Kluyveromyces lactis: one gene and its partner. The protein of the gene in region 1 purifies or fractionates together with the protein of each later gene. This does not show direct contact. Links are inferred from orthologs where the notes say so. Each region holds a gene or a part of one and is shown on either strand. Other genes may lie near its edges.

Region 1 (7,668 bases):
AGAAACAGCAACAGGAATTAGTTTCTTCACACCAAAGCTTGTGGTAGATGACATTATAGCCTTAGTGGCCTGTGCTGTAGCTTCGCGTACTTCAGGAACTGGATCTCCCAAATTCTTTAGAATGTTCGGTAGAATCTCAATCACGTATGGCTCGAAAAACTTCCCTAGAACAAGAGATAGGCACTCGAACCCATATGCAACCGATTCACGGCAGCGTGGGTCTTTTTTATCTTCGGATCCTTCGATTAAGCTGCGAATAACATCAAAGTCTGAAAGAGCAGAAATACCGTACCCCTTTACTAAACCAGCAATACCCCAAGCAGCACCTCTTCTAATTTGGTTTGGTGCAGGTGAGTCAAATAATGCTTGCAAAGAGAAGTCAATGTATTCTTGGGCAGAGCTCTGGAATAAGGGAACCAAAGCAGATAAACATTTTGAAATTGATTTTTGTAATTCTTCTGATGGAGTTTGAAGGGAGCTTAACAAACGCTCAGCAATGGTTCTAATTCTTGGATCATCTTGCTTCAAGTGTCTAGCTAGAGAACCATATAGAATAACGACATTTTCTTTCATCAAAACATCAGTAGAAGAAGACAAAAAGTTTTCAAATATTGGCATCAAATCTTGCAAATACTTACTACCGTGGTAGTTAATGATTTCGATACCAGCTTCTTTCATCTCCTGGCGAACAATTTCCTCTCTATCACCTAATGCTCCAGAATCAATGAGGAAATGTACGAATTCAACAACAGCACCAGGACTGGAACTAAATGCACGGCAAAGTTCTTTCAGTGCAATGGCAGTAGTACTTCTTGCTTCCCAAGGGTCCTTTTGCTCTGTTGCACTGATTTTAACCAAACCGTAGTCATCAAGAATATCCTTAGGAGGTTCTGACTTCAAAGCATAAAAGTTCAATAGTTCGTGGAAGTAACGGTTGAATGAATCTGGATTTTCCAACTGCAACTCTGAGACAGCAGATGCGTACGCCCTAGCTGTGAAGAGTCTTAGACCACTATCCTCCTGTTCAAAGAAATTCAATAAATCGTTCACTAGCTGATCCATAACTTTGAATTCGTTTGATTTCCATATGAAGTTCGCGATGTCCCTATTATTTTCATCTTCATTAAAGCAAGTAATATAAACTTCAGGAGAGTATTCCATAAGTGGTTCGAGGTCGTACTCATCATCAAGTGCCTCCAACACAGTCGCCTGAACAAATTGATTTGAAGTTAGCAAGCTTTTCAATAAAAGGCATAAATCTTCCTTAGTTGGATGTATTGATATATTTTGACATAAAGAGATGAAATACTCCTTTGCCAATTTTGCCTTGGATGGGAGAGCCAAAAGAGATAAGAGAACTGATACTATGCTTTGACGAGGGATAGATGTATCTTGGAATGCTTCGCCATGAGTAGATATGATATCCAAAGCCAAAAGTAGCTGTTCTTCCTCAGGATCTTCTTCCACAAACTCGCTACGATTTGTAGGTTTATTAGCATTCTTGATTGCAACTTTTTTACCGATTTCCATTACTTTTACGAGTAGTGGAAGGATATAAGTCAATGCCATAGATTGGAAAGGTATTTGTCTGCAACCATGTTTGATTTTGAATAATGCAGTTGAAATCAGTTCCAATTTAGTCTCTGAATTCAGATCTGAAAGAAGATGAGGAACTCTATGAACTATCATCGTTGCGTAACCAACAGTTTTAGCGAACATTCCTAACCTATCATCCAACAAAAAGGATAATTGCAAAAATACGTCAAATCCGAGTGATCCAAATAGCAAATAAAAGTTTTTCTGTTGTAGAATATCTAACAACGAATTCACAGATGTGGGGAACCAATATTTGATACCATTATCCAAAAGATTTGCTTCAGAAGCCAACTGAGAAATGATATCAATAACGCATTTCACAGATAAAACGAGCTCATTAATACTTGATCTAACATTTGATTCCTTTTTCAACTGTTCGTCGACAATCTGTTGTTCTTCCTTGTTCAACTTCTTTGAACCTTTCTTGGCTTGGTCCTTTCTTATACTTTCTTGCCATTTTAGAATTTCATAATCCTTTGAATTCTTGTTGTTTAAGATAGCTGATTGTTTTGCAGAGAGTACATCGACGACAAGTGTACCTTCTTTTCCGTTCCAGATTTCAATTTCTTGTTCTGTCACAGCAGATAGTTTTGTTGTATCCAAGTTTAATTGAATCATGCTTGCTACCAAAGGTGAGGTGATCTCAGGATTGATAAATGAGAGGTGAGAAATGGCTTTAATAATGGCTCTTCTTAATTCTGGTGTTGTTTTATCAGCGCTGTTAAGCAAATACATCATATTGTCGAATAATTTCTCACCGTATTGTCTCACTATTTCAGAAGGATCCAACTCTGCATTAAGGACTAAGCCAGCCCATCCATTCTTCAATTTAATGCCGTCTAATTGGGATAATACTAACAGCCTTGTTAACAAATGTACGGAGACAGACTTATCCGAAAGTTTCTGAGATAGGGTATTGAATAAAGGTGCTGCAAAACAAAATGATATACGCGAAAGAGTATCATTCTTTTGTTTTGACAAAGTTTCAAAAGCATCAATTATTGCATTGCCGACAAATTGTGGGTTCCTGTAAAATGCGCAGTTTAGAAGCTGTAAAGCTTGCTTTCTCTGTTCAAAAGGCACTTGCGTGGATAGGGTAACATATATCCAAGAAAGACCGTATGACTCCTTGTGTGCTTCAAGGATGTCATCGATTTTGGAAAGTATTGCAGTTGCACTCAAGTCAATAAGATGTTGAATGTAAACGAAACATCCATATGCTGAACCTTCTCCATTTTTTAATGGATTATTACAGACCTCCTTCAGATATGCAAGTGTTTCGTCTTCGAGCTGAACAATGATATTTAGTTTTGCAGTGTTTAGGTTGCTTAAAAAAGAATTGTACCATATCTTTCTCAAAGGTAACTTATTCTCATTAAAACCGGACTTTATGGCAGCAATTGAAACTTCGTCTGCTGTTTCTAATGAGGACAAATGGTGGAAAAATGCTGATAACATAATATTCAATGCTGTCTCATTGGATTCCTTCGAAATATAAGTTCTCAACCCATCCACGATTTTTGAAGACACTTGATTGGAGAAAGTTGGTACATTTATTAACAAGTTGGATATAATAATCTTATAGTCGGTATTCAGGTTGGTTTTCATGTTCTTAAAAGCCTCATCCACAAGTTTTTGTAAAGATGATTCGTCACAGGAATCAGAACATATTGACCTCAATAATGATATTAGGGACTTCAAGGAGCTTTCACGTACGATATCTTTTGAGCTTTTGAATGATGTAAAGGTTTGAGTAATGCATTTTGATGAAACAAATAAACCCAAACTATTAACTTTGTTAGAATTGAACGCCGAATAGAATTCAGCAGATTGGGTGAAAGATGTTTCTGGTGATCTTAAATTTGCTTTCTCAAAGCTTGGAATCAAATGCTTCTGAACTTGTTCTTCAGTAACAAATGAATATAGGAATTCTTTCAGGAAAAGTTCCAAACAGAATGCTGAAGGCAACTCTTTGGCGAGGATAACTTCTTTACCGAGATACTCTACTAATCTTTCAGTCAACTGTTCCAGCGAATGCAAAGGAATTGGTTTCTTGGCTTGGCACTGTAATACAGAATGAACTAGGGATCCCAGAGTGATAACTACACCAGTATTTGGAAGCTTCAATTTCGAGTAGTTGTCTAATAACAATGGAATAACATCATCAACAATATTAGATTTTGAATCTGTAGTAGATTCCAGGTTCACACAACTAACGAAACTCTTAACAGATTGTTGGAAGACACAGAGCCTCAATCTCTTACGATGTTGGTTTTGCTTATTCAAATCTTTCTTAAAAGGTTCATGGGTATCTAGGATAGTCTCGATAGCTGCTACAAGCATCACATAAGCGTGGACTATTTCTTTCCAATAAACATTGAAGAGCTCATCTGATTGTTCATAAATCAAATTCAAAAATTTAAGCACCCATTCCAATAAATTTAAATAATCAGTAACAGCTTTAGAAGGGCAGTTTTGAGTGCTGGCAGTCTTGATAACAAAATCACTTATCTTTTTACAATAGATGGGGTCGGTTTCAAACAATTGGACCAGGATTGAAGTGACTAGAACTTTTGATTCTTTATCCTGATATAAATCATAAGTGCTTAGTACGCAATTGAAAATCAATTCCAACGCCGAGCTATCAGTTTTACTTTTATCGTTGGATTTTAACAGTTCTAGGGCACTTCTTAATACCGGTAGCCTGACTGTCAATAAAGAAGCGTGGCAGTCTCTGTAAAGAACAGGCTCTAAATTTTCCCAAGTAGACATCCGTAAATACTGTTGAAAAATGAGATGAGACTTCTCAACTATGTCGTACTTTTAATAAATTAAGAGTCGGTAATTTTCAATGGCTTGCCGCTGATAAGCGTCTAAAACAACATTGCTTAAATCACAACTCATCTCTGAAATAATGAACTCTGCTCTTGTTTAAAAAACTATTCAAGATTTTAACATACAAATCTGAAAAGCTTTGGTGAAAGAAAAAAAAAGTACAAGATCAAAACGTACAAAATGATGTATTGTAACTAACTTGAGGCTAATACTATACTTAATATAATTAGTATTATAATCATCCCATTGATATATTAATGGGCATAGTAGTTCGCAAGTGATACTTTCTTTAATGTGCGATTTGTAGCAGTTTCACATTCAGTTATCAATTGGACTTTCCACTTGGTTGGACAACACAGAGTTTGTCCAGAAAATTACTATCATTTTCTATGAAGAAAAGAAGGTACGATATTATTTAACTATACTGACGCTGCATGATAGTGACTAGTATGGTTGAAACAAAATAATACTGAAAACTTTCAATTATAATACATAAAGTCATATAATGTGTAAGGTCAAGTCTAAACTTATCGTGTTCAAGACTTGTTACTTTGGTTAGTCTTGGACCTTCCAGTGCCAATAGTCAAGTTTGAGATTGTCTTGGTGATCTTTTCAAAAGATTTGAGATTTGGTGACGGTGACGGTGACGGCAGGTGCGGATTACTATGTGTGTGAAGTGGAAGATGAGGAGATTGCTCTTGAGATTCAGGTCTCGTTATTGAACGCAAAGTTGGCTGTCTTCTTTGTTTCATCAAAGTGTCATCAATTTCAGACATATCTTGTGCAAGTTTTTTCTTGAGAGTTTTGATTTCTTTAGAAATATGCAAGCAGTCCTTGCATCTAACCATCAATTTCACGTCACTCACTAAGACTGCAGATTCGTAAATTAGTTCCATGACATAATCCACAGGTGGGAGTGAATTTGGTGAAGCAAGACTATCTAAAGTGGATAACTTCTGGTTGTGGTACGGTGGATCATTTCTGACTTTACCGCTAAACAAAGACGGTTTCTTCGTATAGTTAGAGCCAGATTCAGTCGATCCTCGAGATAAGGGATCAACTGAATCCTCTAGTTCTAGTGCTCGTTCTCTGAAGGACCTCTCTATTTTGCTCTTAGAAGGTAGAGAAAGTCCAACACCTAGATCGTCAGAGTCAGAAGGACAGCTTGAATCGTTCGTATTAGATTTTTCCAAAGCGTCATGCTCTAAAATATCTCTTACTTGATCAAGTTCGTCATCTATGTTGTGCATTTCTGTAGTTGTATGGACTGGGCGTGCTGGTGAAGAAGAGCGTGTCAAAATTTCAGGAGAATCCACAGTAGAAACTTCCTTGCTTAAGCTCGATTTATGTTTTGGATTTGTATTGATTCTTTGTTGAATATGTGAGATCGAAGATTTCTTCCCGGATACAGTGATGGTGCTTGGATAGTGGGCTGATGATATTGAATTTATGCTATCCCTTGGACTTCCGGTTATCACCGAAGGAGTAAGGGCAGGTGCGGAAGAAGAATCAAAGGAATTCAACTTATCAAGATGATCTTGGGTAGCACTGCTACTAACTGTACTCACCGAAAATGCTGCAGACGCCTTTCGCAAATGATCTATATCAAAGTAACCGTCATCTATGCTGTTTAACGATTTTTCAATAGCCTGGTATTCCTGGTAATTTTTGTGATTTTCCAAATACTGTTGCATAGCATCTTGGTCATCTTCAAAAAGCAGTGAGACTCGATTGAGGAAAGCATCTTTTAGAGATTTGCTAATCACAAACAAGCTTTCCTCTTTCTTCCCGATGATAGAATAAAATACTTCAAGCATTAGATCGAAGAGCAATGGCACTTCATAAATCTTAGCCATATTCAATAATCCCACCGCCACAGGTGATAGAGGCCATTTACCATCAATTTGGCCAGTGAAAAAAAATTCCGCGAACGCTTTAACAGTTTCTGTAGGCCAAGGCATATATAATGACCTAGGTATGAATAGAGGCTCGAAATCAACATCGCCCGAATTCAGAGTTTGACTGGTCAGACTCTCAGTATTTGAAGCAAATGAGTTTCGCTCGTTTTGAGGGGTAGTCATGCCATCAGCTTCGTTATCTGGTTTGTGTAAAGGATCTCCGACAAATACCTCATCAATTCTGTTTGGATAGATATTCTCTTGTGATATATGTTGAGAAATATCATGGTGTAAAGATGATCTTCTACTTGATAATGGAGAAGTTGAAGTTCGATAGCGAGTATCCGGAAAAAAATGATCCGAAAGTCGATTGTCAACACTAAAATCATGCGATGTATGTGTAGGTAGCGCAGGGAGCGGTTCACTTGGGACAGGCAGTAATGGTGGTAGCGAAACATTCAGACTCAGTATTTCTTCAGATCCTGGACTTCTGTAAATTGACTCTCCCATTCTATCGCTTGAAGAGCTGACACGAGAAATTGAACTTGACGTAGAAGCTAATGAAGCTTTACGGGAGCTTAATGGACTATTCAGCCCAAAGCTTGAATGAAGTAAATTATCATTCCCCAGTGACTGAGAGATTCTACGAGATTGAGCTTGGCTAGATCTCAGGAAATCGTCAGTAAAGAGAGCAGAGTATGAGCTTGCAGAATTTTTCCTATTCGAAGGTACAGATATTTTAATTGGTTCTGAAGTGTCATTAGGATCTAAGCTAATAGGTGGTGGTGTTGATCTCTTAGAGCTTTCTCCGCTTGGCCTGAATGGAACCCTAAATACCATGCCACCGGATGAACTCGTTACACCTGAAGCAGCGTTTGAATGACGTCTCTGAGAAGACTGCTCCGATATTTCTCCCAAAGAGACTATATGATCAGGATTTACTCCCAAAGAGGTAGGTAATCTGTCGTTGGCGTTAGTAGCGGTTGCTAAGCTATCTGAATGAGAAGCTATCGAATGAGACGAGTTATCATTTGTTAATTTAGATGTGCTTGGCGTATTGAAGAATAAGCAAGCGGATTTCCTTTCCATTGGAGGCGTGCTGCTTTGCACAGACTGTGCACTTGGTCTGTGGCGGCTAAAAAATGTGTCCAAAGATCCTTGTGATGTTGGCTTCTTGTCATCCTTAGCTATGGAAGATATTGAACTAGATGTATGCGGCGAGACGCCTAACTGCCCTACGTTTCCTGAAGAAAGTTTTGAAATCTGGGAAAAGCTTTCCGGTATTTTGCGATCTGTTGAAACTTGAACATAAGCATTAGCCAAAAGCATATCGAAGTAC
Region 2 (7,566 bases), on another chromosome or scaffold:
CTCCGCAGTAGTAATAGTCGGAAGCGAGTGAGTAATAGTACGTGAATCAGCTAATGCTTAGATGTGATAGTTCTCTAACATCTATCAAATATTAAGTGAAAAAGTGATTATACCGCTTTGCAACCACCTAATTTGCACACGTACTTACAAAGCTGGCTCATCTCATTATATACATCGCATTTCAATTTTTTATTTCTCATGTCTCGAGGGAAAGTAATATCGAAATATATCGAGATATGTCAAGTCAAAAATCATCATTTAAACACGTGACTGATATATTCCACGTAATGCTAAAATAGTAATCCGGGTAATGAAATATATTTCGGTTTCTCTTTCGCATCAGTTCCTTTTTCGCATAGCGAAGTTTCTGACATTCACAGCCGTTAGTCTTTAGTGATATACATTTAGAGATACAGATATGGTGGAATTAGTGAGAATGAACATGAAACGAGACAGAGAGGGAAAGGTGTATAGCGTACAGTAAAGGTCGTTCGACTTATCGAAGCTAGCACCTATACAAAAGGCGCAACAAACCATTTTAGAAGGGTTTTCAGGGGGATTTTCCGCTCTGGATAAAGCACTAAGAGGCTTGAAACAGCTTTTAATTCTCTTGTTTTTGGTGCAACATTTTCCACTGAGGTTTCAGAGATATATTTATACACGCGTTACTTGGAGAAAAGTATTATCAGCTTCCATCTCTGAATCCTATCTGTGCATTAACTGCTATTATACCACTCGAGTTGTATCGTATGATGGATTTGGAGTATCCTAAGATGTCAGGACTCGCAGGTCTGGGCTCTGGCTTAAGATCACGGGAACGATCAAAACCTGATCTATCGATATTAACTGATCCTACACTGGTTGAGGATTTCGATGAAATCATGAAACAGATGCGAAGCCTCAAGAAGGACGAGGAATCCCTGAGTGTCAATGCTAGTGTTGTGATAACGCCGACTGAAGCACATGCTAATGACGTAAATCGTCAAAAAGTTGACTATGAAGGTGTCCCGGATCTCGGTGATTTACAGTTGGAAGATGAGGAGGAAGAAGAAGAAGGAGAAGAAGAGTTAGCACAGGATATCGATAATGAGCATGATACCAGTTTCAGTTCGCGACATGGGAACGAGCTGCAGGATTCAGATTATGCATATTCAGATTCGGATTTTGAAGATAATTTGGAGGAGCGGTTAAGAAGTTTAGAGACTTCTTCTCAAAGAAACAGCGGAGAACATGTTTCTTCTGTGAAAGGGATAGTTGCAAACGATACATCGAGTGCTATTGATAATAACATGGTGGCAGATCGTGCGAAAGAAGCAAGAAACGGATTGGAGCAGAGATCATATGACGATATTGATGATGACGATGATGAGGCAGAAGAACAAGATGACAACGACGAAGAGGACTTGAATATAGGTTGGAACACTAATGAATCTGATGATTCTGATGAGCTGCAGCCGTTAAATCCGCCGCAAGAATTAGACCCCAGCAAATTATATGCATTATACCCGTTCCAGGGACCTGATCCATCACATTGCCAGTTGGAACAGGACGAAGGTTGTACTCTTTTGAATGACCAGGACTCTTATTGGTGGTTAGTTAAACGTTGCAGTGATGGGAAAATAGGATTCGCGCCTGCAGAACTTCTTGAAACGTTTCCTGAAAGGTTAGCTAGACTGAACTGTTGGAAAAACGAAAATATATCATCACATTCAATTTCTCATAAAGAGGATTCAAATTCAAGCAAAGAATCGAATATTTTGAACAAAGAAGATAGTATTGAGGCAGTTGAGTCCCCGTTGAACGCATACTCAAAAACTAATAAATCGGTTAGCTTCAATAATGTTGTCAGTTATGCTGAAAGATATATTGATGAAATAGAGCAAGAACCATTGGAGGACGACAGCGGAGAACTGAATGGTGCAGGAGAATACGTTCATGATGTGGAATCAAGAGACGGGCAAGACGGGCATCTACACCTGGGAACAGATCTTGGAACTCACTTAACACATGTCGATGAAATACATGAAACCCTTCTGAATGATCATTTGTCAGATGATGTAAGCGAAGTTGTAAGTGATGCTGCCTTCAATGTCCATGAAATGGCACCATTAATGGTGCAAAAAAATAGACCTTCAAAACCTGCCTTGACGGATCTGTTGTCAGAGAAACAAAATGATCTAAAACAAGTCTTTCAAGCTCCCACTATGCCAGTAGCAGCACCAAGAGGTACTTCCCAAATGACAAATTCAAATTCAAATTGTTCCATATCTACAATCGGAGAATACTCGCCTTCCTCTTCAGACTGGACAAATGATTCACCTCAGTTGCTAAGTGAAAAGGAATTCGAGAAGTCTAATTTGAATGATCAAATCCCATCTTCCAGAGCTATTCAAGATATATCGAAAATTGTAAGCTCGCAAGATGCGCCTGATTTGAACTCTCTTCATGATGAAGATTCTCTGCAACATAGTGAATCATTGCCAAAAGTAACTCATAATCACCAGCATTCGATATCTACACTGAATGCTGTAGATATCAACAGTTCTGTCGGGACAGAAAAAACTATTGATATTGATGAAGAAAATAGTATCTTACCAGATGAAAATACAAACGCTTACAGCACCGTTCCATCCTCTATAGCCTCAAGTTGCATGGACCATGAACACAACTCTCCATTAATTTCTGAAGTAGCATTGCATACAAGCACTGGTGTAGTAGGGGATTATCATCCAGTGATTAACTCCTTGTACAACCCTATTTTCAGCAAAATAGATGTTATGATGGACAAGATAGAAAACGCCATCTCAAACTGATATTACCTCCATTCAACGCATTATGTAGCTAACTTTTATAGAGACATAACCCAACAACAGCAATCACTATTGCTTCAGTAATCTGTCTGTGCTCATCTCCTGTTTCAGTACCGAAAGAATAACACACGTGACCGCAGTACTGCATTAGACTTTAAAATTTTTTTTTGGTTTGTTAGCTCATCGCAGAGATATCAAATTCACTAAAAACATTTGAGCAGGAGGAAGCACGGATATTGCTGATAAGGAAGTGGTCAGTACCGTGGAGACTCCATAAACAACCTTGAATCCCAGTATGCCATGGTCACCAGATAACGAAGGACTAACTCAACTTTGTTTGACATTACAACATGCTGTTTCAACTAATTCTGATGAGAGACAGCAAGCACTCGATGCATTGGAAACATTCAAATTAGAACCACAGTTTGCCAATTATTTATGTTACATTTTACTTCATCTTGAGGAAATGGATCAGTTAAGAGGTACTGCAGGTATTCTTTTGAAGAATTGCATATTGGGAGGCAACATCGTTGACCTAGGGTATGTCAAATCAGAAATTGTACGCGGGTTGTGTTTGAATAACAAATTTATTGTCAAGATTACTGGTATTGTAATTGCAGCCTTGTATTCTACTTATTATAGACAGCATAGAGAAGATCCTCAAGGGTTAATCACACTTGCACAATTAATTGAGCTCGCGAGAGACAATAACGAGGGTTCTTTGAAGGCCTTATCCAAAATGATGGAGGATGGTGCACAGTTTTTCCAGTTACAATGGTCGAACAATCAGGTGCCGATTGGAGAATTGGTATCGTTGTTTTTGACTTTGATGGTAGAAGGTAAGACACCAGTAGTCAGATCTGAGAGCATCAACTGTTTGAACAATATTATCCCGTTACAGTGCCAAGAATTATCCGTTAATTTAGATACTTTATTGACAAACATCTTCTCGTTAGCATCTAGCGAATCTTCATATTTAGTCAAACAACAAATTTGCCAGTGTTTGACCCTGAACTTAGAGTTCAGACCAGACAAACTCATGACACATCTACAGGGCATCATACAATTCATGGGACATTTGATTGTTAACACTGATAGAAACGATAGTGAAGAGGAGAAAGTTGCATTGGGAGCATGTGAGTTTATACTTGCGTTGGTGTCGAATACAAACGTACCAGATCATCTGATACAACCTTATGTGCAAGAACTTGTTCCACTTCTTTTGACAAACATGGTTTATAGCCAGGAAGAAATTGTTGTTATGGAAGCTTCCAACGGGGATGATGCAGACTCTGAAGACAAAGATGAAGATATCAAACCAGTTTCAGCAAAAATACAAAAGAAAAATGACGATGATAATGACGAAGACTCTGATGATGACGAAAACTTTGATCATGAATGGAACTTAAGAAAATGTGCAGCATCAGTACTCGATATACTTACCGGCATATTTCCGAAGGAAGTCATAGAAACAGCACTTCCACTACTTAGAGAACATTTGACTTCGGATAGTTGGTACATTAGAGAGGCAACAACACTATCTCTTGGTGCTATGGCTGAAGGTGGCATGAAATACTTCGATGGTCAATTGCCAGCGTTGATACCATTTTTGGTCGAGCAATTGAAAAGTCCATGGTTCCCAGTTAGAAGAATGACCTGCTGGACTCTAAGCAGATTCTCCATTTGGATCTTGGATGATCGTACCGAATTTTTAATGCCGGTACTAAATCCTATCATGGAAACTTTACTGGACAAAAAGAAAGGTGTCCAAGAGGCAGCCATTACGGCAATTGCCACTTTTATCGAGAATAGTGATCCTGATATAGTTGGTACAGTCCTATATGAGCCACTATTAGACAGATTCGACGAATGTTTCAGATTCTATCAAAAGAAAAACTTAATCATTTTGTATGATGCGGTCAGTAGGTTGAGCGAGAAGTGTGATCTTGATGAACAAGCTATTACGAAGTTACTTCCCCATTTATTGAACAAATGGTCTGCTTTGGACGACAATGACAAAGAACTCTGGCCACTCCTGGAGTGTTTATCGTATGTATCAACATCTTTAGGCCCCAGGTTCGCTCCGATGGCTATGGAAGTTTACAATAGAGCTTGGAATATTCTCTGCAGATGTGTTGATTTAGAAGCCAAATCACAAGTTGATCCAACGATAGTGGTTCCTGAAAAAGATTTCATCATAACTTCACTTGATTTAATTGACGGGTTAGTCCAGGGGTTAGGTTACGATTCCAAGGCCCTTTTATTCCCAAATCATGATACCAACATGTTTTCCGTCATCTTGCAATGTTTACAAGATCACAGCCATGAGGTAAGACAAAGTGCATACGCGCTACTGGGAGATATAGCATATTACTACGAGAGGCAATTATTTACAAGCGACTTCTCAAAGCGAATGGTGGAAACAATCGGAAACGAATTGATTCAAAACGGAGAAAACCATGAAGCTGTATCTACTGTCAATAATGCTATCTGGTGCCTAGGTCTCATGGCACATAAGATAGATCTGGGCCCTTGTATCATTGAAATAAGTAGGATAGTGCTGGACCTCTTCTGTTCTACTCAGTTGGTTTTACCAACAAGCATAATGGAAAATTTGTGCATCACCATTGCTAGACTAGCTCATTTCCATCCAGAAATCTTCACACAACCACCTTTTGCAGGCGAAACCCAATGGCACAAATGGTGCTCTATAGCCAGTGAACTCACAGATCCAGAAGAGAAAACCGTCTCTTACACCGGTTTCATTAAAATAATGAACTTAATGGATTTCAATGCCCAAGGCATGCCTTCCGACAAAACCTGGGAGCTCTTTTTCAGAGGATTGCAACAAGATGTCGACATTTCCATTATATCAGAGGACCTCTACGCTTTGGCAATGAGGCTACCAGATCCTTGGCAACAATTGTTAATGAACTCCGGAATGTTTTGAACAGAAGAAAAGCATGATGTATAACCGTCATTGTTAACCAGTTACATAACGAATAGGTTACGACGCTCGTATGTGTAGGCAAATAATTTCGATAACCATACCCTTCCCCTCTTCTCCTGAGGCAAAGAGTCGTAGTAAATCACAACTGTCCAGCCGTTGCAATCACGTGATGCAGTCCTAGGCAAGAGCGTTTTCGGTTTTCTCCGAAAGAATACCTTCGAGATGACTGGATCGTACTGATAAAAAAAAGAAAAATCGAAAAATTCCGAGCTGATAAGGCCCGTAATCTCGAAGAGAGGTAAATATACCTGAAGCTGTGGCATTGGGATATATAAACTGGCACACAAGCTACAATGTGGTATGTAGTTTAATTTAAATGTTTAGTTGTAAATGAGTACTGACTTGAATTTATCTTGATTTTTTCTTTTACCGCAACTTATTCTTTGAATCTGTGTCATAAAGGCATTGACAATGATACAAGCCGTCGCTTCAAACCATGTTGCATTCCATGAGGGCGTAGCTCCTGGCACGATTATCTATAGTGTAGAGAATGGTAAAATTTTGGATGTACTACAAGGAAGGGTAGCCACCGAAAGAGAACTAATAGGCTGTGGATGGAATTTAGAATCCTATGACATTGTTTCGCCGTACTTAATAATGCCTGGATTGGTGGACGCTCATGTACATTTGAATGAACCTGGTAGAACTGAATGGGAAGGATTCGAGACGGGGACCAAAGCAGCCGTCGCTGGTGGTGTTACTACTGTCATAGACATGCCTTTGAATGCCATCCCACCAACAACGAATATTAAGAATTTCAAGCTGAAATTGGATGCAGCAGAGGGCCAGCTGTGGTGCGACGTTGGATTTTGGGGCGGGTTAGTACCGGACAACTTAGCCGATTTGAAACCGCTAGTAGAAGCTGGCGTAAGAGGTTTCAAAGGGTTTCTTATAGATTCCGGTGTCGATGAGTTTCCTGCAATTGATAAACGATACATCCAACAGGCGTTGCACTTATTGCAAGGTGAGAAAACTATGGTTATGTTCCATGCTGAATTACAGCTACCAGAACCTGGCCACGAACACACTATTGTAGACTATAATGGTGAACTGGGGACTGACAGTAATGCCGAGAACTTGCTTTCTGCAACCAAGTCATTATCATCTGTCGAACCAAAATATGGTCAAGTTTCGGAATTAATCCAACATCACGAAGATCATTTGGATTCAATAACTACACCTCTCGAAGCCGCAGAAAATGAAATATGCGACCATTCATTGTCCAAAATAGATCCATGCGAATACAATAGCTTTTTATTATCCAGACCGGATCATTTTGAAACAGACGCAGTAGCATTAATTGTCAGTTGTTTACGCAACAGCATCCTTCAGAATGGGATCGAAAAGTCACCGTTCGTTCATATAGTACATCTAGCATCGATGGAAGCTTTACCAATCTTGAAACGGGCTAAGGATATGGGACTTCCAATCACCGCCGAAACTTGCTTCCATTATCTTTCATTGGCAGCTGAAAGGGTTCCTAAATCCAAGACTTTTTACAAATGTTGTCCACCGATACGTAGTGAGAAGAACAGAAAGGAACTTTGGAGAGCCTTAAGAGAAGGTCTAATCACTTCTGTAGTAAGTGACCATTCTCCATGTATACCGGAGCTAAAAGACCTCGCAAAAGGTGATTTTTTTAGTGCATGGGGAGGAATTGCATCCGTCGGGTTGGGACTACCATTACTATACACTAACGGTGCTTCCATCGCTGAAATCATTCAATGGTGTTGCGAGAACACCAGT

Evidence for each region.
Region 2: the proteins of GCN1 (region 1) and KAP104 purify together in Saccharomyces cerevisiae (affinity purification with mass spectrometry; 3 studies listed by BioGRID). This does not show direct contact. The link is inferred for Kluyveromyces lactis from reciprocal best matches to the Saccharomyces cerevisiae genes GCN1 and KAP104.

The regions. Positions count from the first base shown.
Region 1 is NC_006042.1:1,147,242-1,154,909, forward strand, and holds the start of GCN1 (Gcn1p), read right to left. Parts: upstream 4,369-7,668; coding exon 1-4,368. Other genes in the region: KLLA0_F12452g (uncharacterized protein), read right to left, coding at 4,968-7,668. UniProt on the Saccharomyces cerevisiae protein: Ribosome collision sensor that activates a translation quality control pathway when a ribosome has stalled during translation. Directly binds to the ribosome and acts as a sentinel for colliding ribosomes.
Region 2 is NC_006039.1:389,063-396,628, forward strand, and holds KAP104 (Kap104p), read left to right. Parts: upstream 1-3,105; coding exon 3,106-5,760; downstream 5,761-7,566. Other genes in the region: protein phosphatase regulator BUD14, read left to right, coding at 750-2,813; DAL1 (allantoinase), read left to right, coding at 6,232-7,566. UniProt on the Saccharomyces cerevisiae protein: Functions in nuclear protein import as nuclear transport receptor. Serves as receptor for arginine/glycine-rich nuclear localization signals (rg-NLS) and PY-NLS in cargo substrates. Its predominant cargo substrate seems to be mRNA-binding proteins.